4 linked regions of the Struthio camelus genome follow. Each later gene encodes a partner of the first gene's protein in a complex. Links are inferred from orthologs where the notes say so. Each region holds a gene or a part of one and is shown on either strand. Other genes may lie near its edges. The genes, in order: TGFB3, LRRC32, TGFBR2 and ITGB6.

What was found.
Region 2: the proteins of TGFB3 (region 1) and LRRC32 are in contact, whole or in part, in a cryo-EM structure (PDB 8VSB), measured with the Homo sapiens proteins. The link is inferred for Struthio camelus from reciprocal best matches to the Homo sapiens genes TGFB3 and LRRC32. Residues at the interface, in NP_001316868.1 of Homo sapiens: Leu24, Ser25, Thr26, Cys27, Thr28, Leu30, Pro347, Pro349, Tyr350, Leu351, Arg352, Thr357, His358, Val361, Leu364, Leu368, Ser375; in NP_001122394.1 of Homo sapiens: Ala110, Ser135, Tyr137, Ser160, Val184, Met186, Asp187, Ile188, Asp190, Phe193, Leu202, Leu204, Arg206, Asn207, Ser208, Thr210, Cys211, Ile212, Ser213, Asp214, Phe215, Ser216, Leu217, Cys227, Asn228, Ser229, Lys254.
Region 3: the proteins of TGFB3 (region 1) and TGFBR2 are in contact, whole or in part, in a crystal structure (PDB 9B9F), measured with the Homo sapiens proteins. The link is inferred for Struthio camelus from reciprocal best matches to the Homo sapiens genes TGFB3 and TGFBR2. Residues at the interface, in NP_001316868.1 of Homo sapiens: Arg325, Lys331, Trp332, His334, Tyr390, Tyr391, Val392, Gly393, Arg394; in NP_003233.4 of Homo sapiens: Leu50, Phe53, Asp55, Ser72, Ile73, Thr74, Ser75, Ile76, Glu78, Val100, Asp141, Glu142.
Region 4: the proteins of TGFB3 (region 1) and ITGB6 are in contact, whole or in part, in a crystal structure (PDB 4UM9), measured with the Homo sapiens proteins. The link is inferred for Struthio camelus from reciprocal best matches to the Homo sapiens genes TGFB3 and ITGB6. Residues at the interface, in NP_001316868.1 of Homo sapiens: His259, Gly262, Asp263, Leu264, Arg266, Leu267, Lys268; in NP_000879.2 of Homo sapiens: Ser142, Ala143, Ser144, Asp147, Pro196, Cys197, Ser199, Ile200, Tyr202, Cys204, Ala234, Asn235, Ile236, Asp237, Thr238, Glu240, Asp271, Lys355.

What each region holds. Positions count from the first base shown.
Region 1 is NC_090946.1:58,264,547-58,271,978, forward strand, and holds the start of TGFB3 (transforming growth factor beta-3 proprotein), read right to left. Parts: upstream 3,015-7,432; coding exon 2,276-3,014; intron 1-2,275. Other genes in the region: IFT43 (intraflagellar transport protein 43 homolog), read left to right, coding at 5,298-5,348. UniProt on the Homo sapiens protein: Transforming growth factor beta-3 proprotein: Precursor of the Latency-associated peptide (LAP) and Transforming growth factor beta-3 (TGF-beta-3) chains, which constitute the regulatory and active subunit of TGF-beta-3, respectively.
Region 2 is NC_090942.1:221,240,035-221,247,241, forward strand, and holds the start of LRRC32 (transforming growth factor beta activator LRRC32), read left to right. Parts: upstream 1-4,195; 5' UTR 4,196-4,636; coding exon 4,637-4,665; intron 4,666-7,207.
Region 3 is NC_090943.1:46,973,765-46,980,842, reverse strand, and holds the start of TGFBR2 (TGF-beta receptor type-2), read right to left. Parts: upstream 3,003-7,078; 5' UTR 2,974-3,002; intron 2,876-2,973; 5' UTR 2,703-2,875; coding exon 2,609-2,702; intron 1-2,608. UniProt on the Homo sapiens protein: Transmembrane serine/threonine kinase forming with the TGF-beta type I serine/threonine kinase receptor, TGFBR1, the non-promiscuous receptor for the TGF-beta cytokines TGFB1, TGFB2 and TGFB3.
Region 4 is NC_090947.1:27,362,303-27,369,521, reverse strand, and holds the start of ITGB6 (integrin beta-6), read right to left. Parts: upstream 3,020-7,219; 5' UTR 2,956-3,019; intron 949-2,955; 5' UTR 883-948; intron 1-882. UniProt on the Homo sapiens protein: Integrin alpha-V:beta-6 (ITGAV:ITGB6) is a receptor for fibronectin and cytotactin. It recognizes the sequence R-G-D in its ligands. Internalization of integrin alpha-V/beta-6 via clathrin-mediated endocytosis promotes carcinoma cell invasion.

The sequences.
Region 1 (7,432 bases):
ATACACATTTCAGACTTGTCTGTATCATCCTCACAGTTCCCTCAATGGAGCAGCCCTCCCCTTCCCCCCAGGAGGAGACTGGCTCTGGCTCAGAGCATGCTCTGAGATCACCACCTGGCACAGTGACAGAGTCATGGGAAAGTTGAACATCAGCCACTTTTGAAGACACAGGGCCAAATTCAGCAACGGTGTAAGCAGTGAAACTCCCCAGGTTTCAGAAAGAGCATGCCTCTACACCACAGCCCATCTGGAGCCAGTTTCTCCCAGTGTGACCCAATTCCAAAGTTGTTTCTTTCTCTGGATAGTGGGATCTACCCAGCCGGCTCCCAGGAATTCAATCCTAACACTAGCTGGTCTTCTGAACCCACTGCTCAGAGCCATGTCCTGGTGTCCTAGATGGAAATGCGAAAGGTCCATTCATTTCCATAGGAATGGAAAGGAGAGGTCAGTATTTATCTGGTAGACAGTGGCTGTGGGAGTTTCCTCTCAGCGATCTCTGCACTCACCTGCACTTTTACTGCCCTGAGCTCCCCTGTCTTGCACTTACACCACCAACTCACATTCTCTCCCCACTGTCTTCTTGCTCCTTCTTATGCACCATACATCCTCCTCTTACCCCTCCACTTCACCCAAATCCACTTCCCTCTGACTTCATTTCCTACTGCTGCGCTTTTCAGTTTCCTGCTCCAGAACCCAACTGGTTCATAGTATGGCTATGTTATTTTGTGCAGAGACTTGGTTTACCCATACATTTTTAGCATTTCACAACGGGCGCTTTAGTAGGTCAAAAATGTTGAAATACGGGTAAGCTGCTAATACCCTGTGCACTTTCTGTTCCTCGAGTCTTGGGGTCTCCTGCGCTAAAAGCTAATCATATAAGCATATGGAGTGCAGTCTGCTAGAGATTAAGTGAAATCTGTTGCATTACCACATTGTGGCTCTTATTCCAGCTCATCATATGTAAAGATTAACATAAACCTGGCAGAGTAGCTGCATTCTGGCTGCCTATACTGAGTCCCAGCTCCTCCCCCGGAACTGCTGGTGTTCAGTGTCCCCAAGAGTGCACTGCATCACAAGAGAGCACCCTGGATGGTGATGTGACTGAATGCCCACCAACTTCTTCTAGCAGGAGGGAGTATTAAGCACTGACTGAAAGGATTGCTTGTGCCTCCATCTGCTCAGCATTTGCAATGTGCTTGGGTTCATGTCTGCTCAGTCTCTGTCTTTGCATCTGCTCAGCTTCTGCACCTGAATCTGTTTAGTGTCTGCATCTGGGCCTGCTCATCTGCTCTGCACCTGCTCAGCATCTGTCATGTTTCCTCAGTGCCTATGTTGTTAGTGGTGAGGGTCTCTTTTGCCTCGCTGTCTGTTTTGCACCTGCTCAGCATCCTGTTATCTTCTGCTCACTCTCTGACCCCTCAGTAGTTGAGTAACATCCTCAAACAGTGTCTTCCATGCAGGAATCTTTTTGGCAAATGCCCTTCCACCTTCTCTACAGCCAATGTGGGCTCTGCACAGCCTGGACAGGTTGACTGTATCCTGTCAGCAGGCACTGGAGCTTCAGCAAGGAGGAGCCAGCTGCCAGCTGCGGAAGACTTGTCCTTTAATGTGGGACCTTTTCGTTCTCCTAGCCCCATGCTAAGCGTTCGCCCTGAGACCCAAACTGCCTCCTCTTCCCTTCTCTCGTCTTCTTCCCCTTTCTCCTCTTTCCTCCAGCCTCCTGCTCTGTCCTCCCCTCCCTGCCTTCTCTGGGATGTCGGGGCTCCAGATGCGGGCTTGGTGTGCTGCTTCCTGGCTGCAGCCAGGGCCGATGTCCTTCCAGGACACCGCAAACCTATCCCTGCCCGCTGCCAGTGCTCGGCGCCTGCCACCCGTGGCGGGGCGGCCCTGAGTGAGCCCGCACTGCCTGGTTATCGGGGCTTTCGGAGGTCGCCTCCACTCGGCTCCCGCCGCCCGGGGGCCCGGGACAGCGGCCGTAGCGCACCCCGCCGCCGGCCCCGGGCTCGCCTCCGCACCCGGGCGCGCAGCCGTGCGGAAACGCGCCCCCACAGAGGGGGCCCACGTCGCGGCGCCCGCCCCCGCGTCCGCCCGCGCCGCCGGCAGCGCCAGCGCCGCCCGCCGCGAGGCCGCCCCCGCCCGGGGGCCCCTCCGCCCCGGCCCCGGGATCCTGCCCGGCCCCGCAAGCCGCCTCCCGCGCGTCCCGGGCAGCGGGGCGCCCTGCGGCGCGGCATCCCGCGCCGGCCGCACCCGCCGCGCACGGCCGCCCGGAACTCACTGTGCTCCGGGAGGCCCTGGATCATGTCAAATTTATGGATCTCCTTGGCATAGTATTCGGACTCGGTGTTGTCCTGAGAACAGCTCTCCTCTTTCTCCTCCTCCATCTCCTCCAGCAGCTCCCGGGTGCTGTTATAGAGAGCCAGGATCTGGTAAGGCACATGCGCCGGCCCCACGGTCTCCGGGGGGCTGGTGAGGCGCAGCTTGCTCAAGATCTGCCCCCGAATGGCTTCCACCCTCTTCTTCTTGATGTGGTCAAGGTCCAAGGTGGTGCAGGAGGACAGCGAAAGGCTCACGGTGGCGAAGCTCAGCAGGCAGAGCAGCACCAGAGCCCTTTGCACGTACATCTTCATGTGCGAGGGGGCCGCGGCGGGGCGCCCCAGGAGAGACCCCCGGGGAGCGGCGAGCGGGCGCAGGAGACCGGGCGGCGCTTTCGCGGCAGCCTCCCGAGATCCCGCAGGCTGAGGCTTGGCAAGGCGGTGCATGAACTCACTGCGCCGAGCGCGATTCAGGACTTCCAGGAAGAGCTGGCAGCGCTCCGCAAGGAGAAGCGGCAGGCTCCGTGCCGCGCCGCGCCGGGCGCCTTCCCCATGCGCCTCCCCGCGTCCCGCGGAGCCGGGGCCGGGGGCGGCGCGGAGCCGGGAGCGCCCCGCCGCGCCGCCGCCGCCGCACGTGTCAGCGGGCTGGGCCGCCCCGCCGCCGCGGGGGGAGCGCGGCGCCCGCCCCTCTCGCTGCACCATTCATGCCCCCGCCGGGCCCCGCGCCCTACATTGCCCCGCTGCCCGCCCGTCCCAGCGGGCGGCCGGTGCGCGGCCCCGCTCCGCTCCCCGCGGAGCCCGGCGGCAGCAGCCCGCGCCCGGCCCGGCCCGGCCCGGCCCGCCGCCGGGCTGCCCGCTGCTCCGAGGGCTCCGCTGGCCGACGACCCCCGGTGGCGTGGCACACCGCACCGCACCGCGCCCCTTCCCTCCCGCACACACTGCCTCTCTCCAGGCCCCGCCGCGGAAATTTTATACCTCCCTCCCATGACGTCCCCGGGACGGGCCACGGGCGGGGGAGGGAGCTCCAAGCCCGGCCTTCGCCTTCAGCACCGCGCTGATGGCTTCAGCAGGCGCGGAGCCGGCACAGCCCGCCCTCCGCCGCCCCCCGCGCCGCCGCCGCCCGCCGCCGCCGCCGCCGCCGGGCCCTGGCACCCCGGGGCGGGGGCGCCTCGGCCGCGGGGCGGGCTCGGGGCGGGCCGGGCCCGCGCCCCCCGCGCCCTCCGACGTGGCCCGGCGCGGCGGCGGCGGCGGCGGCGGCGGCGGCGGCGGCGGCAGGTCGCGGGCGCCTCCTGCTGGCGCCGCCCGGGGGCGGCCGAGCCCCTTCGCGGTGGTCGGCGAGCGCCGGCGGGCGGCGCGGGGCTGGCTCCTCCCTCTTCCAGCTGCGAAATCGCATTCAAAGCGGCTAAAAATACCCCGAATACTTTCCTGATGTGGTTTCTTTCCGAGGCAGGGAGGGCGGGCGCCGCGGGCGAGGGGCTGCGGCGGCCCCGGGCGCAGAGGAAGGTGGCTGGTGGCCACCGAGGTGCCGAGGAGCCACCGCAGCCCCTCCGGGACGGCTGGGCCCTGGGAGGGGGAGCCGGCGCCCCCGAAAGCTGGGCGGGATGGTGGCTTGGTGCCTTCCTGCCCCAGCAGCAGCCGCTCGCAGAATCAGTCGCTTTTTCAGCCGAAAGAGCAAGCTGGCTGTCCCTTTGGGACGCCCACTGCGGGCTGCGGGTGAGGAGGAGCTGGGCCCGTGGACACCTGCGGGAGCAGTGCCGTGGCGGGTGTCCAGGCCTGGGCAGGTGCCTGCTCCGGTGGGGCAAGGCCCTGGGGTGTCGCGCTCTGCAGGGCGGCCCCCAGGGCCATGCAGCTCCCACGGTGCTGCCCCAGGCCCGGGTGTCGAGCGTTGGGGACTGTCACAGCAGCACCAGGGATGCGCTGCTGGATGTGCTGGCCCCGGCTGCAGGGAGCCTTCCCTCGCCCAAGTGCCCAGGACTGCCCGGGACCAGCTGCCGGGGCTGGTGGCTCAGGGGTCAGCAGCGCACAAAAGACGCTGCGTGGGGAAGAGGTTCGGCGAAAAGCCGTGAAGCAACTTGATGTGTTGGACACACCGCGAGTGAGTTCCCCAAGACTCGAGGAACTCGATCTGTTTTACTCTTCAAAGGGGAGATTAAGGGGGGAGCTGGTCCCAGCACACGAACGCTTTGCTCAGGGAAGAGGAACTTGAGAAGACAGGTCCTTAACGGAGCAGACAAAGATGTAACAAGATCCAGTGGCTCTGAGATGATGTCAGACAAATCACGACTTGGAATAAGGTAGAAATTCTGAGCGCTGCCATTAACTATCCACTGGAATATTTTAACACAGATTGGGATGGACATTTCTAAAACTCCCCAGGCACCTCTGAAATGATTTCTGGATGCTTTTCCATGCTGGGAAGTCCTGCACCCCGCATTACGTTGGAGGTTACACTTAATGCGGCAGAACTGATTGCTTTGGACTTCAGCAATCCATTGGCTACAGTGCCACATAGTGAGTTATTAGTTAAGATTGAGATAAGTACAGGAATTATAAGAGATTACTAGAGGAGTTCCCCAATGGCTGGTCCTGGGCCCAGTTTTCATTAACGATCTTGGCGCACTGAAGTGAATGCGCTAATGAAATTGGCTGCTTATCCAAAGTTGGGAGGCATTGTCAATACAGGGGAAGACAAGGATATCCTTGGTTGACACACTAAAAATGGGATGAAATTTAATAGTACAAAATGTAAGGTCATGTTGTTAACAGCTGAGAGCAGGCTTTTCTGTTACTTACCACTTGGAAATAACAGCATTGAAGAAAGATGTAGGTGTGGTGCTGGTGCCAGTATTGGGCTGCTCACTTTTGGCTCTGCCTGTTGCTCTTTCTAGGTTGTGAAGCGGCAGGGAAGCTCCATGGTGTGACGCGCACAGGAATCACTGCTAGTGGCTGTGAAGAGCAATTGGTAACAGGTTGCACGGCTTGGACATGCTGGAATCCAGCTGGGCTGAGGGAGAGCTTGACAGGGCTACCGAACATGTGAGCATCATAGGAAATATTTCACGCTTGGCAAGCTTGCCTGGGGTTTGACAGTCTGAGCTGGGGCTGATGTAACTTGAACAGCATCTGTTCTCATGGAGATCAAGAGAGCCAAAGGCACAGGCCTAGTCTATCTATCAAAGCCCCCTTTGCCTTTCAGAGAGAGAAATCTCGTTTGAAGTTTCACAAATATTAACAGATATTGTTCTGGAACCTGCATGAGTAACAGAGTATTAGCAGTTTTTCCCTCCTCCAAACCCCCTTAGAGATGGGGTAAATACTTTGAGATGCTTGGGGGAAAAAATGCAGGAAAGTCAAAATGAGGTGCTTGGAGCAGCTAGCGTGGAGCAGGCTTGGGCAGCTGTTGTTCACTTGGTGCTTTCCTTCCCAGGGGAGGCTTAATGTTTACAATGAATCAGTCCATGTTGAAGTCAGCAGTCTGGCTGGCCACGTTACATGCGGACTGGATGAGGAAGAAAGGCACAATGCTCTGTCACTGGTTGCTACAAGAATTGCCCTTGCATCCCGTAAAATCTACTGCCATCAGAGAGCACACAGCTGCTTAACAAAACCTCCAGCCACTGTGAATAAGGTTCTCATTGTTCTCTCCCACCGTAGTGCTACCGTGTGGGCTTCCCCCCGTAGCTGTAGCTTTAACTATACGTGTGTGCGCTTGCTGTAATGGTGGCTGAGGATCAGAAGCATGTGGGAATGCTCAAGCATGATTGCTTTCCCAGACTCTCCAAAGTGTTCTCTTAGGTGGAAGGACGACCGGACACAAGCTCTATTCACAGGTCCAATCAAGGAGCAATCAACAGCAAACAGTGCTGGTGGAGGACTCCGCTAGTCCTTTTCTGTGTGATTGGATTTGGGTTGAAACCAGATGGATAGAGTCCATGCTTAGGTGTGAGAACTTGTACGTGAAAGGAATGCTTGCATAGTTCCTACTTGCTGTTCAGATGACTGGCGGTAGCAGCATTTTAGTTTATAGTGAAGACAAAACTGAACAAGTAAGGCAGACTGGGAGTTGAGAATACGCTTGAAACAGACCACTGGAAAAGAGCAACCCTGGCACCACAGACCCTAACTGAAGGGGAAGCAAGCAGACAAAATGACTTTGGACAGCCACAGCAGCAACAAACATTTGTCCCATTAACTATGTCTTGGTTAAACAGGGGCTGCTGCAGGCCCAGGGTCAAATGCTACCTGCGGTGTCACAGTTGGACATAGGAGAATTATCCTGTTCAGAAAGTATGACCCTGATGTTTAAAGTAAGCAAGATTTTTGCCACAGCATGAAATGACAGATGAAAACTCTCCTCCAATGTGAAGGCAGGCAAAGATGTGTGAGGGTGGGTGACAAAGCCCGTTCCCGTGAGTGGAACCGTCTGTGTGGGAACCCAGAGAGAACCGAGGCAGGACAGTTTTTAAGTTTCACTCTTTCTGCATATCTGCTCTTCCCTCTCATCAAGAATTTCTGAAGTCAGAGGTCAAAGTTCTGGGGCAAGACTCAGTTCTGCACATGCTGAGCTGTTTTCTTTCCCATATGTGGACGCCACCGTCCTTTGGACAGCCTGAGACTCGTGTCACTGGGGTGGGCAGCAGGCATCACAGCGTTTGTGCTTGGGGGGCTTGGTGCCTGGGATGGGGACCAAGGATGGGTTATGGGGAGGGGGCCGGGAGGTGCCGCTCAGGATGAGTGAACCCAAGGGTCCTGCTGCTTCTGAGGCTGTCAGGCCAGGGGAGACCAGCACCGCTGCGCACCCTGTACTGCTGCCCTGCCCTGCCTCCAGCTGGAGCTCCCTTCCCTTGTCACCAGCTGACAGTGGCTACCCAAGGTCTCCCGCCCCAGGGTACCCTCCTGCTTTAGCAGACACTGCTCGGGGCACCGTCGCACTCCCTTCGGGATGCTGTTCCCCCAAGCGAGAAGGGCAGCTGTAATTGTACACTCACGCTCAGACATCCTGCTAATGAACCTGGGCTGCGGCCCCTTCTCTCTCCTGGTGCCCCTGTAGCTGCACGGTTGTGGCATCTCGTCAGGAGACTGGATGGGAAGGGGCAAGTGTGGACCCACGTTCCACAGGC
Region 2 (7,207 bases), on another chromosome or scaffold:
GCTGTTATCATATTCCTTTTTTGTTATTACTCTCTGTGTTAACAGTTGCAGAAGACGGGCAGACGTTTTTTCTTTCTTCGCAGAATTTTAGTCTATTTACGGTGTTACTGAATTACAGAGCTCTGAACCAAGGGTGCTGCAGAAAGATCAGTCCTGTGCACTGATTAAATGCTGCTACCCAAGCTCTCCGACACGGACTCCTAATATAGCCTTGGGCAAATCACACAGTGCCCGTGTAAAATGCACAGAGTACTATTGAGATCATCTGGTCTTCTCACCGTTAAAGCTGTCATTGGACTCTCCTTGCTGGAGTACAAGATGTGAGACAGCAGAGTTATTTTTTTCGACTCTTAAGATCCTGACAGCTTGGATCTCACTTTGGGTAAATGACAACTTGCTGATAGTAGCTGTTTTGCTGAATCTGTACTCTTATCATGAGGAATTAACGTTTTTACAAAATCTGGAAATTATAAAGTTCCAGAAAATCTCATCCTATATAAGAACTAAAGATAATTTTCTAAAAGTAAATCCTGTTATTTTCTTCATAAAAGTGCAAATGTTTCCTTTAAATAAAAGCCAAACTTAAATAACAGTGAAAAATTGATTTTTTTTTATTCAAATGTAATCATTTCAGCTTTAAAATGACATTATTATTCTAAAATACTGAAAATATTTTACTTCCAATAACAAAAATTCATGAACAGCCATCTCTTTTTAAAGCAGGTAGTAACACCTTAGCGAATAGATCAGTGGTTAGCCTTTTACTAACAGAATGATGGATAACTCTCAGGACGGATATTCAGTATCAGTCAAGTCAAATAGATCAGAACTAAAATTCCTCCCTTCATTTTACCTGCTATTGGATCACATAAACTGAATACATCTTTTCTTAAAGACTGAATGCACCTGCAGTTAAGAGAAAAAATTGCGGGTGTAAAAATGAGCGTCTCTGTCTTTGCTATGCGTAGATTAAGCTGATGAGAAAAGGTTCTTAGTTTTTTCCCAGATTTGAATTTGCTCCAGAAGTTTTGTTTTCCAGGGTAAACATTTCATTTAGTTTCATCTTAAAATGCCAATTCATTGCTGGTTTTGTACATTGAGGCATGTTCATTTTCTCATCTGCTGCTGTCCCCTTGCCCAACTGCTCTCTTATAAAGTCTCCAGGGTGACGGACTTTGTGGGATTCTTATTCATTTTCAGTTTCTCTTCTGGAGAAAGGAGTAAAGAAAAGGTGAAGGAAGTTGGGGAACTAGCTAAACTTTATCTTTATTCCTTTGGCCAAGGGGATCGGAAAGGCTAATGTCCTCTGGATCATTTTTTGCTGGGGGTAAACGTCATAGGTTGCCTGGCCTGGTAGAAGTGCATGCAGAGAGGACTGTGTGTGAGAAAGGGAAGGAAGGCAGCAGCTTGAAAAGACAGGAGGAAAGGCCTGATTTGGGTGAAACTGGTGATCCATGAAGTGTAGGTGTCGCAGTTTTGATGTGTGGACTTGACGCTGGAGAGCCACGAGGCTGGGTCTGCTCATGGCAGCGGTCCTGGTGGGTCTGCAAGACTGCACCATGCAGACAGCACCAGCAAATTGAGCCAGAAGAGGGAATTTATGGAGACGTCGTAAGTTCTCAGGAACTGCAGATGTGCCTCCTTCCCAATGGTGCTGGCTGAGGATGGCACGGATTGTTTATTTTTTTTTGATAGGGTTAATATTAATGTTTCCCGGTGGGATGAATCACCAAGGAGCTATTCCAGTCCAAGGGATCAAGACTTGCCCCCCCTCCTGCCCCTGCAGTTCAGACTTATTTCTAAGCAAGGAGGGTTTTTTTTGTTTATTTCTCTCAAGATTTTGATTCATGTGGCTCGACACAGGGCTCAGCCCAAAAGCAGTGCCTTAGAAAGCAGTAACGTTATGGATGGACAGACTCCAAAAGGTCTGGAGGTTCAAGTCACATAATCGTCAATACATATTCTTGTTTGTCTGAAACCCTTGGGAATCTGCAGCAGATGACAGACAGTCTCATGAGAGCCAGCTATTGGGATTTGCTTTTCCTTCCTGCCCCAAGTTGTTGTGGGGAGAGCCTGAGAGCCAGGGCTAGTGGCAGAGGCACCCAGTGCTGCACCTTGTGGTGCAGCCAGATTTGCCTAGAGCTGGCATGAGCTCCACCTGGCTTCAGTAGGAGCCAAGTAAGCAGTGATACCTAGAGAAGACCGCAAGAAAACCAGAAAGGGTCCGATTTCACGGAACTGCAGGTGCTCTGAAAACCCTCTGACATCAGAGGGATGGGAAAGCCCTCACTGCTGCTGGAAATAGGTGAGAGAGCCTGCTTGTCCATCTACCTGATGGATCTAACCTGTCTGACGGGGATGACCCTTGCTCTATAGCCCTGGAAACAAGCACGTGCCGTGCTAATATTTCAATAGCCCTTTACAGTGTAAACTGCTGAGTAGCCCAGTCCAGAAGAGCAAGCATGAAAATGCTGAAAATGAGAAACCAACCAAATGTTTTGGAGCCTTTGAAACTTTTTCCCTTCAGATCCCCTTTGGGAAAGAGCAGAGACGATGAAGAGACCTCTTGCCTTTCCCAGCACAGTTGGTGCATCTCTGAGGTCGCAGTTTCAACGGGGCAAAGTCCTGAGCAGCAGGATGGGCGGACGCCCTTCCCTCCCGCTTTGTCATTTCTTTCTGTCCAGGCTCACCCACGCAGTTCAGTTGGCACGGCTGCTCGGTAGTTCAGTAAATTAGCTCAAGGAACTGATACGGCTTTTTAAAAAAAGCATCACCAACAAAAACCCTGCTATTTTTTCGCCTGTGAATCCAAACTTCCCACTGACCTCACAAAGCAAATTGCTCTGCACATCCAGGTGCAGGAAAACGCGACACTGCAGTCACCCAAGACATTCGCTTCTCTTCATTGTATGCATGATATTTGCATTCCCTATCCAAATCCAAATCAAAACATCCTTTCACCAGAGATATTGTGTTTTTTTTTTTCTTGAAGACCTCAAATATTTGAGGTTTTCCTTGAGAAAACTCCCCACCAAGAGTAGCTGTACATTGCAAGTGATATCACATGCTACTGACGAATTGAAATATAAATTCAAAGCAACCAAAAGGCATTTAAACTTCTGGACTCCACAGCAATCCTGGGGGCCAAGTCCAGCTGCAACATGAGTTTCCTACTTCCACCAAGGGGGTAGCAGATGGAAGGTTGCGTCTAGTGAGCACGCCAAAGCGATTGAGTAAAGAGGCAGTGCTGTGGCCAGCTCCGACCAACGAAAGCTTAAGAACATACGTGCTAGGGGAAGCTGATCAAAACTAGTCTGATGAGAGTCCAGCAAAGGAGAACCTATCCAGATTGTGTTAATATCTCATTGACAAACAGTTCTCTTGAGAGCTAAACATGGATTTTTCTATCCCTTGCACCTCATCATGCCCTCCCCAACCCACATGTACGGCCGCCCCTGCGTAGCATTTACTCCTCGCATGCTCGGGGCGCTTTGAAAAGCAAACAACATGATAAGAGCCTCGCTCTTTGACGTGTTAGTTTAACCACAGGAGAAGTGCATTGCAGCAATTCAGGCTTGCGAGGTTGGGAAACAGCAATGGGGAAATCAGCACAATGGCAGGTTTTCCAGAAGCAAGTCTTGATTAAGTAGGAAAATGAACTAAGGAAACTTGCAATTAGGCAGCTGCTCCAGCCCTAGAGGGCAGCACAAAATAATAAATAAAGAGCTGAACTCACAGGCAATCTGACAGGCATGGCAAAAGTGTCCCTTTTGCAACGGGAATTTTTACTAGTGGGTCTGGTAGCTTGAGCACTGTGTACTCACTGCCAAAAATTAAACATCTCATCCAGACTTTCGGATCGGTCTTTCTTTGTTCATATCAATCTCCCTAATTTCTGCATCACCCCAGAGAAACCCACAAAGGTGCTTTAAGTCAGGTGCATGGAAGCTGATACCGACTCCCCGTCCTTCCATCAGGTTGGTATCGCGCTCTCGGACCAGGAGGGCTGTTACTAAAAAAAAGGGGTTATGTACTCCAGGAAAGATTGCACAGCTGTGAGTTTTCTCCTTATCAACAGCAAATCTGAAACCTTGAATCCCCAAATGCCATTTTTGCAAAGATGCAGATAACGATTTAGGTGGCGGGGTGGGAGGGCTGCAACGCTTCAGGAATGTGACGCACGGACACAAAACCCTAACATAAACACGCCGCCTGCACCGCGCACAGAGTTAAACAATGCAGCCGGCAAAGATAAGTCACATATTCCCCTGAGCAAACCCGGGGCCCGATCCCGCCCATTTCTCTGTCAAAATCCCCTTGTTTCCTGATGCGCGTCTGTCCCGCGCAAGGGTTGCAGGATGTCATACAGTAGCTGGCTTTGTTCAGCGCGCAGCGGTGCCTAGGACCCAGCAAGAGCCCGGAGAGGAATCAGAGGGAAGACAAGCAACATAATTTAAAGCAGACACTGTCCCAAATAAGGTTATTTCCCTCAAAATGCCGTAGTTCGAAAGTTACGAGTAAGCCGCTTTGCATCCTGAATGGGTGAATGGGAAGCTGAAGAGCAGTTTCATCGGCGCCAGGACTGAATCAGTTGTGAAGACCTGGATATGCTTTTTAAAGACATGATAAGCAGTGTATGGGGATGCAAGAAACCCTTGAAACAAGGTAAATGTGAAATGCTCACTCTTTCTAACGGTGAAGGCACTAACACAGAAGCAAAGTGTCTTGTCTGAGGAATTTCTTGGGGAATTTGGTTTGTGTTTTGCGTATTCTTTTTTATTTAACCTCTATCTGGCATAGAATAATTTCACTATAAGTTGTCTAAGCAGCTAACAAAAAATACTTTGGGGGGAAAATTGGAAACTGCTGCTGTTGTTACTTACAAATGTCATCTATTAATTTTTTTCAAATTTAATATTATAAAAGAGATGGAGGGAAATCTTCCTCTAGCATAAGAACTGGACAAACTGAGATTAAATCCTAATTCTACCACGGTTTTCAAATGTGTCTTGTGGCAAATCACTGCTCTTCTCTGCTTGTGCCCTCCCATCTGTTAAGTGGACATAGGGACACTGCCTGGGCACCATACTTTTTCTAAATGATGGAACATTTTACCAGCTTGCTAAGACTCCTTGGTGGTGTCACTGACACCACCTGTATTTTTCAACTGTGAATGGGGCTAGGTAATTTTCCCAAACTGTGGTGGAAAGCTGTGACATTAAACATGATGCAAAGCTCAGTCCTGCTCTGAGAAATGCTGGGATTTTTTATCCTATTTTTCAGTGGGAGCAGACTGGCACCATGAATGAAGCTGCTTCAACTTGGCAGAAGCCTCACAGCAGTAAAAGCTCCTTTAGGTTGAGTTATTGCTTTTGCTGCTCCCAGACTGGTTTTGAAAGTCATGGCTAGAGCCATCAGTCCCAACGCAAACAGACAGCTGCTGTGCTCAGCAGGCTTCTTTGCCCTGTCTAGTGTTTGCTCCTTCCTGATATGGGACCAAGCACCGTACCATGCCCCGTGCTGGGATGCACCTCTAATGTGAGGACCTCTGACAGCAAAGGGTCCATGATGCTAAACCACAACATGTCAAAGGGTTGCACTGGGCAAAGGTGGCAGGTGGCTGAGACCTGCCAGAAGGGGAGAGAGGAGGGGGACATGGTGCTGGACACACAAGATCTTGCTGACCAGGGTGCAGAGTCAAGAGAGTCTTCCGGAGAAAATCTAAGCAAGAAAAGCTCCTCAGCTGGGTAGCTAAGCTGAAAAATGACCTTGGGAAGGGATTCTCCAAATTCGAGGATGTAGCGCCATACCACGAGGAGTGGCTTACCCTTCTCTGGACTGAGTCTATGTGGTCTAATATTTTGAGGAAGAAACCATCAGGTTCCAGTACTTTGGGGCTCCAGGGTGACAGTCATCCTAACAATGCCCTGAGGGACAGATTCCTAGCTTGCTATGGAGCTGCCTTACACAGCAAGCCATTAAGTCATGCTCTTGGTTGGAAACATATCAGTTTCCTTGTTACTTTATGAATTTATGAAGTTTCAAAGCATGTTAAGACCCTGGATTGTGCCAAGGTTATTATTTAAGAAACAAAGGGGCCATTTTTTGCACTGGTAGTGTGACAGAGTAGACCGCGGACAGCATGGGGGACACGCTCTCTGTTAGGGCGGTGCCCTGTTGTGAGTAAAATCCATGGAGAATTTGTCATATTATTGCACTGCATTTAAACAGAAACAATTTCCTTTTGAGTGTTCTGAGTAACGCCTTCACAACTGCACATCATCAGTATGTTTGTCTTTTCTCTCAGTTCTAGCAAACTAATGATAAAAGTCATCCTCTCCTCCACCCCCTGGACAAATTTCCTTGCTCAGAGTCCACAAGCACCCACTTCCTGTAGGCCTCAGGAGTGTGTAACAGAGGGGGAACACCAAAGACATCATAGACGGTGCTACCAGCAGTTCCTCCCTCCACAAGAAGATTTTTGGAGCACTTTGCAAACAATAATTAAAAGGCTTGAGAATTAGCATATTCAGGCTGGGTTTGGAGAGGAGGAAACAGATTTTCATCATGCTGTTGAGTCTTGAGGAAAAACTCACAACCTGCCAGATCTTGGGGTCCCAGATCATCACCCATTACAGTTTTTTTCCCTCAAATGGAAGGAATATGGAGTCTAAAAATAGAGCAGCTGTGTCCTAAACTTGCCCAGTACTTTTCCTAGTGTACATCACTTATGTCAGGCTGGGAGGAGGAGGGAGGTGTGTTGCTTCACTCAGAAGTCTACAGAAACGCATCAAACTATGTCACGGTGTGGGGACTTCAAGGGAAAGCAACAGAGGGTGTGAGCAGTCTGCTCGAAAGCACCTGGTTTGTGTCTCCTGGCAGAAATGGATGTCCCAGGATGTCACGGAGGTGAGCTGGGGGAGCCCCATGGAGACCTCACCCTCGGGTGAACCTGTTCAGCAATTGCCATGCTCTGTGGAAGCGCAGAGCTTCAGATGCATCCCTCAGGCAGTGACTAAGCGGAGGGATCTCCATCAGCTGGGAACGATTCCATCTTTTCTCTTTTGCTTCCAGCCTCGTGATGCTCTGTGGGTGGAAGCCGCTGAGTAATGATACGTTGACGCTGTCTTTTGGAGGCACATGCAAGTGAGATTGGCTTTGGAGCTAGCTGGATGCAGGCTTGCTCCCGGAAAGTCTCAGGAGCTGT
Region 3 (7,078 bases), on another chromosome or scaffold:
TGAATGAAGAAATTAAGTTCCAGATATTCAGAAATGAGGAATCATTACACAGATTATTCCAAAGCACAAATTTAAGTTTTTAATACTCCAAATATAAACTACAGATTCCAATTTCACTTGGACAAAGCAGCGTTCATTTCTTATGCAGGCGACTGCTAATTTGCACTGCCATTTATCAGTGTAGCAGTCACAATCATTCAAAAAACACAACTTGTCCCTTTAGTCCATGGAAATAACTTCAACTACTTGTGTCTAGAACAGGATATTTGAGCATCTTTTTCAAAGGAAATACTTGCTATTGGACCCGCTCATGAATTCCTGGCTTTCTCCAGAATTTTTGTGTAAACGTGCTGTTCTTGACCAGTATTTTGCTAGGAAGAATGTTAAGATGAAATTTTAGCCGAGGTTCTGTTAGCCCCCCTCACCAACAACAGCAGGTAGTCAGTACACACACCTGGGAAGCAAGCTCTCCTGAGGCTGTTATCCGTCCCGCCTCATCCTCTCCCAACTGCAGAGCTATTGATTATTCCAAAGAGAGTAGCTCTTCTTGGGCTTTGTTTGGTTTTCCCAAACAAAGTTTCTAGTTTTCATTCTGATGACTACTAAAAACCAACATCCAAACCTCACACTTGCTGCCCCCACAGAATTGTTGTTTTCTGACCAGTGCTACCTCGTTACACGCTTAGTCCTGCAGTAATTACAAAAATGGAATTTTGAATATGATCAATTATCTGACAACAGGTCAACCCAATTTTGGTTACTGTAGAGTGCAGATGAAGATCAGCATGAAATACGCTGAACTGGAAGGAAATCTCTATTTTTTTCCTCACTGGCTCTATGACAAGAAAGAAGACATCAAAAAATTTCTTAAGATAGGCCCATTAAAAAGTTTATCTGTAGTTTGAAACTGTCTATACTGGTTGAGCAAAAAAGCATAAGCAATAATAACAGAACAGCAGCTTTATAAAACTGGAGCTTTTCAGTTTAATTCCGTTAAAGCTTTGTGTAATAGGAATCTACAGTAATATTTTTTAGGCCAGGATCAAAATAAAAGCCATCACTAGCTGGGTATGGTTTATATTAATCATAAATATATACCAAAATCAACAAGAAGCTGCATGCCTCAAATTTAAAATAATAATAAGATATTGTGCCCTAGGACACTACAGACCCTTATTCTTAAACTGTTTAACTGTTTTTTCATGTGCCTTAAACTTACGTGAGTAACTTTACAGGTATGTAAGGCCTGTTGACTTTGACTGGGTTATTAACGAAGCATTAAGTTAGTCATGTACACAGCTATTTGCAGTGGCTATGCGAGAGCTATCCAGTTTATGTTGTTATTTTTCAGCAACAGTTTTGAGACCGTTATTGAATGGACCACAGGGGAGAACTGGAGCACCAAGCACAGCTTGGAAAAGCTCAGGTGCCTGTTCCTCTTACCTAAAGACTAAAACCAGACATTCAATATAACAAGGCACCTCAGAGATCTGCTTAATACCGCAAAACTGTTTCAGATACAGTTTTGCTGCGATAGGATGTTCTCTTTTTAACTTCGCCAATGGAGCTGCAACGCGATTTAGGGCCTAACCTCGCAGATAGAGATGTTAGTTCACACGCGTGGGTTAGCACTGGTAAGACTGGGACCAGAAGCTCCTCAGGGTAGGGGCCCTGTTTTCACAGGGGCACTTCAACCTCTCCGTGCATTCCAAATTACTCTGTGAAGAGTAATACGAGCCACAGCCTCAAAACATCTCTCTACAGATGTCTGGATAAAAACAGCCAGAATAAGGGACGTAAAGCATCAGTAAAAGTGAATTAAACAACATGAGCACTTTAAGACATCGAGCGCTACAAGAATGACTGCCGTTCCCAGTGCAACTGCTCACAAACCATGCCTTAATCCTGCTGCAGGCAATGCCGCAGAAACTCCCACAGAGTCAAATAACTTTTTGGTAAGTAACCGCTGATCGCCTCGGCAGCCAGCTCTGCGGCCGGGCGCGGGCCCACCGCCCCGAAGGACGGCACGCACAGGCTCGGGCCACGCAGCACCCACGGCGCTCTCTGCCCGGTGTGGGCGGGCAGGGCCGCCAGCAGCGGCGCCGGAGCCGTGCCCCGCGGCGGCGGGAGGTGCGGACCGGCCGCCCCCGCCGCCCCCAGGTGCGGAAGCTGCAGCAGCTGCAGGGCCCGGCAACCTCTCCGCCCGGCCCGGCCCGGCCCGGCCCGGCCCGGCACAGCAGGCAGCTCCCGGGCTGCCCTCTCCGGCTCCTCCGGCCACATGAGACCCTGTTGCATTTCCTGCCAAATTCTCTCTTTTTCTCCCTCGCTTCCCTCTGCCGACGGACCTCACTGTCTACTGTGAGTCCCCCCCCCCCCCACTCAAGTTCCCCAGCCCTTTTTCCCCCCGGTAACTCCCCAGCAGGGCAATAAATAAACACGCGTGTCCTCCCTACCCGCCCCCCCCCGCGTTTTGTTACCAGCTTCAAAACTTTCTTAGCAACCAAATCCTCCCCCTCCCTTGCCACCGCTCCCGCCTGCGGCCGAGCAACTGTCAAGTGAAAACGCTCCGCAGGCTGCACCGGGGGCCGGGGCAGCGGCGCGCACTTACCCCGAAGCAGAGCGGGGACCGAGCTGCCCATTAGGAGCCACACGGAGACGCGCAGCAGCAGCCGCCGCAGGCTCCTCGGCAGAGCGGCAGGCATCGCCGAGCCGCAGCCGCATAGAGAGCGAGGCCGAGGCGGGGCGCGGAGCGGCGCGGAGCGGCGGGCGCCCGGGCAGCGGGAGAGGCCGCCGGCGGGGCTGGCACGGCGGCGCGGGCTGCGCTGCTTTTGCTGCTCGGGACCGCGCGTGACTCACTAAAAACTTCACTTCGGCGCTGCAAGGGAAACAGGAAATCTTAAACTTCGCAAACAGCTGGGCAGGACTTTCTTTCGTACTCTTACAGGAGTTCCTTCTCCCCCCTTCCACGCTCACCCCCTCCTCTGCGCTCGCTCCTTTTCTTTCTTTCCTTTTTTTTTTTTTCCTTTTTTTTTTAAACATGAAACCTCACCCAGTTTGGTGTCAATCATCTGCCAGAGGCCAACCCCTCGCAGGTCTGGCTCTCCCACCCCGAGCGCGCCGGGCCAGCCCCGACGTGCTGCCGGGCGCCCGGAGCTGCCTCCCCCGGCGGGAGCGCGGCGCCCCCGGCGCGCCCCGCCGGGCCCCGAGGGGCGGCACCGGCAGCGCGGAGGCTGGGAAACGCCGGGAAACGGCGAGCTCCGCTGCTCCCGTGTCCCCACGAGCGGACGAGGGCCCAGTCGTGGCCTTGGAGCGTGGGGGCTTTGCAGCCGTAGCCCTGCCCTTGGCGGTGCTGCTGCGGCCTGTTTCGCGCTCTGCCGGACCGGCATCTGAAAGAGGAGACGTAACCCCCTGATGAACTAAAGCAGGGGGTAAGGCAGGTTGAAATCAGGGTAATAACAGGAAATGTTCACACTGACGAGCTGGGCACTCGGCTTGCAGATGCTGAAGCAGACTGTGACAACTCACCACCTGCCTCTTTTTTGCATTTTGCTCCCAAATGGGCTGGATGCACACCATTTGCTCCCAAGCCCTGCACGTGTGACACAGATGAAGTTCATCTCCCTTCCTCTCTAAAGCAGCCTCAGCTTTTGCCAGAGATTTCTTCAGAAAGGAAAAATTGCACAGAGCATTCAGGGAGTGGGACCATACCAGTGATGTCAGTTATGCATGACCCAGACAGAGGTGACTGAACCACTAGATCCTCAGCAGGTTTACACTGAATAAGGCCTGTGCCTTCTGCCTGTATAAGTCCAGCCACTGCATAGCCAGGAATTGCCTTGAGAGCCATTTCTGGTTCAGTCTTCCCTCCTCTCCGAGTTAAATGGCTGGGCATTGATTGAAAAGTAAACTGCTGCACATGGGGATAATTTGAGAATGCCTGCTCAAATTGTGGTGATTCACTTTTGTCTTGATTACAGCACGAATTAGAGGTACAGATTTGGGTATTTCAGAAACAAGGCTAAGCCCTCACGGGGAATATGCATAATCATACTCTGAATGTCCCACATCAACTCTGTATGAATTTGGAAGTGTTTACATAATGCTTTTAATTGGCCTGTAACAGGCATAAAAAATCTCATTGTGATTTTATGTAAATTTATTTTTAAAAACTCCCTAAATGCATGTTTTCACAGTGCAGCCCTAGTTTATTGTGCACATTCCCATAAACCTCTCCAAGAGCATTTTCCTTCCCTCCTTTTAAATGCACTCAAGATTCATTCAAACAAAGATGCCACCTTCCAGAGGAGGTAAGAAATGTCAGATTCACCTTTGAGTACAGACCTGGAGTGTTCTTACCAGTTCCTGAGCATCCACGCTATGCTAGAAATTCTGTTTTTAGTAATTTATTATGTGAAAGCATTTCTCAACCCCCATCAACATTTGTTGTAACAATGTAGCTGTCAAGAGCCGCTGTTTGCTTAGAAACTTGGCTGTGTATGCTGCTTGAGCTCTCCTGTTAGTTTTGCCTGACTAACTTCCAACATGTAAGGAAGCTAAAAAGCCATTAAATATAGATTTAACGTTAGTATTCAAACCTGTCAAAATTCAGGTATGATTCAGTGAGCTGGCCTCTGCCTCACTTTCCACTGCTGTGGCACCTGATCTCTCCCCCTGACGTGAGTGCCGTGGCTCTTCCTGCGCACTGCGACCTTCGGACCAGTAGAGGAGAGGGGCTTTGGGGACGCCTCAGTCCTGAGCGCTCAGGGCCCCAACCGTCTCACATCTCTGACTGCAGCCTGGCATCGCGGCTCTTCTCCATCACGTTCCGTGATACTGCTCGTTAGATAACCCAATAAGCAGGGAGTCTACCATATGTGGACTTCAGAAGTCTAATTTTTCCATGTAAACATTGCTTTTGTTTTCACAATATGTCATACTAGGAAGTATGACTAAGAATAACTTCATATTAGGACGTTTTCTGGGTGGATGGAGGAATATATCTTACCTGGATATCCTCAGTGGAGAAATAATTCAGTCACAGAAAGTCCACACGGAAGTGGAAGTAAACTTCAGTTTGGTTCATAGATTTGTTGTAGACAGGCTTATTAACAAAGCTCATGTCCTGCCTTTTTGAGTACTATAAGCTTCCATGTTAAGGCCCAAATTTAGTTTAATCAGGATTTCCTGGACAACCAAGAATATATAAAACAAGGCTAAGCTGGTCATATCTTTCCATTTCCTTATTCATAATTCCCAGTTCCCTCTTTGCAGACTGCAGTTTATTACTTCTAGATTGAAACTGTGAATAGTTAACCTCAGCCTAAGGTGAGAAAGAGCCAGCCTTGAAGAGCCGCAGATTGGAACTAAATAATTAACTCCAGCCTGACTGAGTAAGGAAGGGCCAGCTAATTTCAGTTTGCTACTTAGAAAAGCTAAATACTGAAATACTGAGTATTCTTTGTTTTCTTTCTGAGCCTCAAAAATGATCTAAAGAGATACCCAGAACACAAACAAGCTAATACCTCTCGCACCTCAGAGCCTTCTAGTGAAAGATAACACAAGTGCTTCTTGCTGCAGTTTTAGGTACCACTTTTTATAACAATTCATAAAAACTAGTGAAAGCAAATGGTTTCTCTCTTTCCTAACCCAACTATTTCTCAGCTTGCAATGTCATATTTCTGTCAAAATTCCATGATTCCATAATTCTACAGCATTATTCTCATATGAAGAACCCTTTCAAGCCTCCACAAAACTTGCGTTCTTATTACAACTGCAGTTTCACTGTATGTAACATCCACCTTTAGCTCAAAGTCATTCTACTCACAAGCCACTGGATTGCCCAGTAAAGCCATTACTTTGATTAGTTTATTAGGTCTGGTGTTTCTTAGTTTAAGAATCCCTCAACAAGCTGTTTCTGAGATCCACTGACTCAGAATTAGAGAAGGCCTAAACAGCTGCACCAGCACAGGATAGTGTTTATGCCTGTATGAAGCTGACATGTGTGGCTTGCGGTGAAAACATCTCACTTAACTGTAGCTCTCCAAAAGTTAGCCTCAGAGTGAGGTTCCAGGAGACACCTGAGACAACAGAAAGCCTAACAGCTTTCCTGCTATGAAAAGAAGCAATCGCATTTATTCAACTGCATAGTGAGTTAGTCCCAGATCAAGTTCAGGGACCAAAGGATAGAGGACAACAGCTGGATGAGCAGGATTGCCCTTTACAGGGGCAGCAAGCTATTCGGTCTGCTAAATTCCCTCCATCATCAACGGATGGAGAGGATTCTAGCTGTTTTAGAAACCTCTAGAGACCTGAGCTAACGATAGCATAATTGGCCCAGACACCTAGTTTTTGGGCAGCTGATCTTAGATGAGATGACTCCTAATGAAAATGTTCTTTGAACTGTACAAGTTGTATAACATAAGCTACAGGATGCTTTACTGACTGGCAAACATTGGGATTTCTGCCTGTGTTTTTTGTTTGGAATGAAATGAGGCAATGAGGAATATCGTATGCTTATACCGCTTTTACAGAACTATCAATTACACAACTGGCATAAGCAGTTTGACCAAAACCAAAACATTTATGACTATAAATAAACTTGGTGACAATTACCTTCAAAAGAAAATTGGTAAATCTTTTTGACAAAGTTGACACATCCCGTTTGGACATTTTTGGAATGAAACAGATCTTTTTTTGTTGAGATGCAGCCAATTAGTTTTGAATTTTTGTTGTTTCCTCATTTTACACATAAAAACAAACAAAAAAGAGCAACATACAACATCCTGATTTCACTGAAGTGAAGGAAGAGGTTTATTTTCAGGGAAGTCTTGATATTTCAGTTCAAATCAAAGACAAATTTTGAAACCCTGTATTCTTCTTAGACCAAAACTTCTGCTTTTTACAGTGCACCGTTCATGAAGCTGACATCTCTCCTCTAATTTTCAAATTCAGGATGCTTGGCACGGAGTATTGGCCTTTCAGCATTCTTAATAAAAAGCCTGCAATGTCTTGTGCACCATTTATTGCTGAAGAAGAACACATAGTCCTCTACAGACTCATGTTAAACTACTGTGCCTTG
Region 4 (7,219 bases), on another chromosome or scaffold:
TTCAGCCTTTTTTCCTACAATGCGAGCTGATAAAAAGTTGCTTCAGCCAAGAAATGACTGCATTTCCACAGACATTAAAATGCCTTCTGTTTTATAAATGGAATAAATAATGAAAATGCATGCACATACTGTGTCTCTATTTGCCTCGAATACAATCTTTTTGGCTTGAAATTATGCTATAATAGTGCTGCTGACTTTACATATATAAGGCAGATTTAAAATAGTTTCAGTTTAGAGAAAAATATTTTTGAATGAAATAGGTAAAGTGAAATCTTGAATATACTTTTGAACTTGAGTAATTGTTTATGAGATGTGTCATCAGTTCTCCTGGAGGTAGTTTAGTCACTTTGAGTTAATCATTAACTGAAACTATGTGAAAACCTATTCAAAGCCAGCATACAATGAAGTGTTCTGTTAGGGAAGAAATGCAGACATTGAGTCATAGTTGTCAGTTATTCATTATACTTCAGTCAATTATGATGTGATTCTTTGCAACCTTGTTCTTGCTTTTGATTTCTAGTGTGTTACTGGTCTGGTGGATGAGCTTCCCTAAGTTGGTGCAAGATCCTGCTCACCCTAATCAGGTGAGACACTTGAATGTCTAACCACCATAAGGTAACTACACTATTTTAAAACTATGTGGAAAACAAAAATGAGGGTAAAGAGGTTAGTGAACATAATATTGTTCAAGCTAACAATTACCATGTGAGACAGGAGAAAAAGAAATATTAGAAGTACAGTTCTGCGCATGGATTGCTCAATGGCACAAGAAGCCTCATTGACAAAGTCTAGCAGCCAGTGATATAATTTGTTCCCGAAGAGGGACATGGCATTTATTCATGAAGAATGAAAGCATTAGAAACGTCTACATAGCTTTAGTACCTGAAGAACCGATTCACAACTAGAACAGGTGACCATGCCTGGTTCATAAGAATGATTCAGGAGTAACTGTGGAGAAAAATAACAATGTTATCATAAAATCTGCTTTTTTAGTATGCTACTTCAGCAACGCTATGGGCCTGGACATTGCTCTGGCAATGCGTACTCGTAAACAGGTAAAACACACATTGCTGTGGATAACACCCCCCCAACCCAAATTGGTTAATTTCAAAGCCATTGACACTTTGTATCTGGCAGTACTAAAAAACAGAAGAAGATACCACCATTCATTACTAGCTAATAGAGTCTGCAGGAGAAGGTGTGCAAAGCCTGTATTCTGCTGCCAGCAAAAAGGCTGGATGACATCTGGGTTAACAGTGATTTGGAACAGGTATCTGAATGCCCTTATAAATCAGAGAACAATAGCTGTGCTGGGGAACTTGTGAGGGCACACAACAGGAGAGATCAAGGACAAATTCAGACAGGTTAAACGCTGATCGCTCCAGAGGACCATGCATGTCGTTGTAAGCAAACCCTTCAGGGAACACTAAACACACTAAACACCTCATATACTGGAGGTGTCTCTGTCTGTGTTTACTATAGGCAGAGCCAAGGGCAAAACTGGCTCCAGACTTGGGCCCCTCGGGTGCCTACTGCTACACAGAACAAATCTGGACAAAATATAAGCAACAATATAAGTTAACAATATGGTTTGTTAAATAATTTTTTTAAGCCATCTTTCTCAAATTCAAAGCGAGGTATGCTCTCGCACAGTGCATGAATTTCCCTGCATGTAGGACAAGCACAAATGCCCTTTTCTGCCTGCGCCATATTAGACCAAAGGAGATGAGTGCACGACTTATAAGTCAGTCATGATAATGATTTCAAGCAGAGCTATGTAATAGTCCAGCAGAGGACTGAATATGCTAGTAACGTCTTGTACAAAGTACACATTTATCATGATCTGATGAGGTCATCATTTTTCTTTCTCATTTTGTGAAAGTTCTCAATATTTATGGTTTAAAACAATATACAAAAGCAAATAAACCTTTTTGGTCCTTTATTTGGACTGTGATAGGATTTTTAAAACTGGCAGGCATACAACTACCCAGGATTCACGCACAAAATCAATCACATTACTGAGAAAAACATTCATTTTTACCAAGTATCCTTTACCATCAGTTCGCTCACTCGGAGTAATACAGCCTTTTTACTTGACACACAAATGATATTTATATTCTCATGTGTTACCATCTGATTTATTCCTACCACTTTTATATGACTATAAAGTATATGAATATATAATAATGCGTATTTTCTCCCTTGGTTCTTCAAAAAACATATTTTGTTTTCATTTGCTGTGTTTGTGAGTTGAGCGATGGCAGTTTGATTTAGCTAGTGCTTCTGAAATCACGTATTAACAAATCTGTCAAGACTTGGCTTTTTGCTTACATTCTTCTAAGTTCACAGTCTTCATGGTATATAGGATTTTTGTTTTGTTTGTTTTATGATCCTGATACTTTTTTTCCTTCATTGTCAGAGGGATTTTTGAGGAAGATTGTTTGTTGGAAGAACTTGCTCCTGTATTGCAACTAGAATCAGTACAGGCTTAAGCGTAGATACAGCCTCTCAAGCTTCCTCCTGGAGAGCCTTCCTGGCTTAAGAAATCCCTTAGTGCAGTTCTTGTGGGAGATATCTGTCAGCCTCTTTCTGTTTATAATTTCTATTAATACTCCGAATAACAGCCCAGGCACCACAGAGGCCTTGAGTCAATTCTACAAGGACAGCAGGTAAATATTGCCAGAAAAATAACAGCTCAGTGCTGGGAACAGGGGATTTCCAAATCTGAGCCTGAATGCCTTCAGGGAGGAAAGCCAAGCACAGAGGATGAGGAAGTCAGGAAAAGATCAGAGAGGGAGCAAAGTTTACTGAAGCTGATTTTAAACAGCTGACTAAGTTGTTGGCTTTGATTTTAACATCCATTTCTACTGAATCGAATGAATTGCCTTTAGCACAGCACTGTGGGACTGAAGCGGGCAAGAAACAGCTTCTGGCGATGGTAAGGATCATTCTTACCAGCAGGTTTTCTGTCCTGGAGAGGGACGGTCCATGCACAGTCCTACCCTCTAGACAGCTCTGCTAAGGGAGGAAAAAACCCAGTCTGTGCCAGACCTTAATAAGGCACCTCTGCAGACACAGCCAGGACACGTTACCCTAGTAGTGCTGTTCCTGGGTAGACTGCAGGGTGTCATTTCATGAGCAGCTAGCAGTGAATGAAACCTCATTTTGATCAGGCTTAACCTCCCAGCCGACAAGCCTGGAGACCGTGGAGCACTGCTTACACTGTCACAGCCTTGAGGCTGTCTGGGCACCAGCAGTGGGAAATAGGAACCCTAGGAGAGAAACGTGTGCTCAGCTGTGTTCGCCCGCACCCCTGGCAGACAGATGAGAACCACTGCAAGAGCTCTTCAGAGAGTTCAAGAGTTCAGGCTCTGCAGGACCCCTGAATTCACGGCAGCCGCTCTGGTTGTTACTGGCAGAAAGCACTTAGCAAGCAGATTGGAAAGTAAAGTAGTAATCTGTGTTTTCTTATATATAAAATACCAGATAGCAAGTCAGACAAGTTTTGGATGCCACTGAGACGCTGTCCAGGTCACAGCAGTGACTTAAGAGGCATATTTCTGTCTAAACTTTCAAAATGAAATGTTGTTAATGACAGCACAGGCATCTTACGAGTTTCCCCAAATCCCTTCAATCTTAACAGACAGTGTAAATGTTTTAATTAAAGCTTTCATAGAGAAGCAGATCAGAACTACTACATCAGTTTCCTTTCACGGCATGTTTCAGCAAGCTGATGCAGATTGCTAGGTTGATGAGATATATCAATATTATAAGACACACCATGTGTCAGGCCGAACACATTAAAGGCTGACATTAAACTTTCATATGAATCATTCAAACTTACTCAGCCATCCAGAATTGATATGAAATGAAAAGTCTGACTAACAAGTTTTATTATTTTTTTGATTTTGTAGAAGTAGGAGGATGAGGCGCATGAACAGTGGTTCATATGAGATAGCGACTTTAACTCTGCTCATGTAGGAATTGTGCAGACATTTTGATGATGATGGATAGAAATCTACATTGGCATTTTATTGAAGATATCATCATAGCTTTTTGAGAATTAAAATTTTGACAGTTTGATGGGGGGAAAGTCTGTTAAAAGTCAGGTTAAAAAAATCTACATATATCGAAACCCACTTTTTAAAAGAGCTGCCCCCCAACATCTCCCCAAGAGAAAACAGGTAATGTTCAAACTGAACGTCATTTTACTTATTCCTTTTCCTTTTGATTGTCTATTGGTATTGTCAGTTAAATTTTCTTACAAAGATGTTCAGTTGTAAAATCATTTGGGGTTAGATCTCAACCACACAACTCAGTCACAAAAACACAAGTTTACTGCACTGAGTAGTCCATGCCTTTATTGGCACAAACAGCGACCTACAAATGGTAGTTAGTACTTTCAAGATTTTACATTTCCATACTTTGGACAACATTTCATCATGATTCATCATTCTTCATCTATCTTTATTTCTACTGATTTTATTTCTTTTATAGCTCAGCTCTGTCTAGACCAACATGCAATTCCGTACAAGTACAGCTTAATCATAACTAGACATGCAAGCCTCACTGGGCAAATAGGTGATGCTCTCTAAATACTTCTCATCAGATTAAGTTTCCCTTTCTGTCTCAGTAGGATGGAAACATTTTGTTCTCATAAAAAGCCTTTTTTTCCTCCTTATTATAGGATATTGCATGTTGATGAAGTATCTCATGATGAAGTTCACTGTGGACCATTATTAAAAGTTAGTGCTGCAATACCATTACTCATTGCTGCTTCACTTTCTGCATGTTTTTGGTAAGTCTGTGGCACCTCAGAAGCTGCAACTGTCATCAGGGAACAACACAGAAGCATTCAAAGCGCTCTACAACTCTGCTAGGAGCAAGGCGGCCATCTTTCGCCATCCTGAATAGCAGTAACTCTGCAATGAAAAACAACTGCGGCGTAAGCACTAGAGATGGTGGCATAGCAAGAGAAGTGCTGAGAGCATTGCAACCAGAGATATAAGTAACAGGCCTATTCGTAGAAGTGTTTTTCCCTAGGGGATGGAGTCTTGCGGGTGACTTCATTAACTGCTGACAGCAGGCAGACCGCCCTGTGCTGGGAGTGGAAGGGAAACAGTCATCAGATGGCCCCAGCCACAACCGAGGAAGTGCACAGAAAGATAACAGACAGGTGAGGTGCTTTCCTCACTATTCAGAAGAAGTTAGTCACATCCCCGAATTTAATGCTCTATCCCTTTCCTTTTGATAAAGCAATCTTTTTGTTTTACATGCAGACTCGTGATTTGCACAAAGGGTGCTTTTGTCAATTGAAAGCACTCTTGCAGTCTCCCCAGGTTTCTGAAGGTGGGGTCTGAATTCTCTGTCTGTTGTCCATTGTAAGCAAAATCCCAAAATATCTTGGCATTTGTTACTTTTATTAGTCAGGCGAAGACACTTACCAAACCTTATTATCTGCCATTCAATGCCATGTTATATTAGACCTCTCACAGTATGTGCAATAAAACTCTTGTCACTGTGCAGCCAGCAGGACATATGCTCTCTTTGGTCTCTCTAGCACACTTAGTTACAGAAATGAGGACCCATAGCCCAGATGTCCTATTCCCTTAGAAATAGTGATCCCCAGACTATTCACTAACTTAAAAACATCCATCCCTACTGAACCTGCCTTGAGGCTGCTTGGTGTTTACCTGAAGGTGCTTTCTGCACTTAGAAGATTAATCGCTAATACAGCTAATGTAGCTAACAGCTAAACAGTTGACAGTTCAAACATAAGAGTTTCTCTACACAATCACTTCTCACTTTGCTCCAACATAAATACAGGGGGAAAAAAAATGTCGCCTTACCTCATGTTCCCCACTACACTTGAGCATCCTCCAGCTGTGGAGCAGACCTCCTCAAGCTCACAACAGTCCTTGTGCTGCGGCTCAGCTTTCCGCTGGATCTCAGAGAGTCTCTCTTCTCCGCGTCAGCTGCCTTGCCCTTGCCAGCCCCGCAGCTGAGCCCCCTCTGTAAAGGGACACTGCTGTGTTACTCCTTCTAACTTAGCTTTCCTCTCCAAATGCTCCAGATTCACCTGGTGTCTGTGTTTCAGAGATTAACTCCTTGATTATGGTCTTTCTTTAGTAAGTTTTCTACTCTCCAAATGCTGTCTCCTGTAGAAAGTTTCAAGAAAACTGGTCTAAAATGCCATTTTTCAAAAGTCCTATTCTTCCCAGAGGGAACACTACTAGTCTTTCTTTAATAACCAACCAGGCTATTTATAGGAATGGTGACAGTGTGTCTATCTCCCTAGTACAATGAGCATGAGGCAGTCCACATGAGCCATGACAGAGGCTGTTCATAAAATCAAAACTGCGATTCATACGCTGTATATCAATAGTGATTTAAGCAACCACTTTCTTCCCTCACACCAGATGGAAGAAATAAGAGCCCTACTAGCAAAGGACACATAGCATAATCTCTCTCCCAGACTGGAACAATTAGTCCATTGCTTTAGAGAATCATGTTGAAACTACTTTGATTATTAAAAGTTTTCTATTTATTATAATACTAGGTCATTCTAGGATAACGAGGCAGTGCTTCCCCCTCTACCACACTTGCTTTCTACTCAGGTCACATGCCCTTTTCAGGGGTGTTTTTTTCCCCCCCCCATAAACTGTATTGTAGGTCCATATTAACAGACCTAAATTAGGCCCTTTCATCTAAGCAGAACACGACAGTTTGGGGATGAACAACAAAAGAATCCCAGACAAACCTGAGCCAAAGCCAGAAACGGCAGGGAGGCAGAATTTGCTTAGGCTACTAGCAGGCGAGGAAGGATCAGTATCCACAGGTTGAGAGTTGGAAGACCAACATATAAGGGTCTCATCTAAGGTACTAACTGGGAAATGGAGCACAAAGAGCAGAAGTGTCCCAGTACACCTAGATTATATCATTTCTCTGGGCTGGAGGTGAAGGGCTGGGGAAAGCACTGAAAGGATTGCAAAAGCAAACAAAGAAGGCACGGATGGGCTTAGGGCTCTACCCTGGGATCAGGGAGGGAGGTAGAAGAGGAGTGGAAAGACCTGAGAAGAAGCAAAAGGGGGTTTCCTCAGAGCAGTGCCATGAGCTGCTGCAGCCAGGCAGCACGTGGGCCCAGTGGGGCAGCTGGCCACCTGCCCCTCGCCCCAGCCAGAGACCCCCCCGCTTCCCCTCTACCATGAAGGGCAACAAA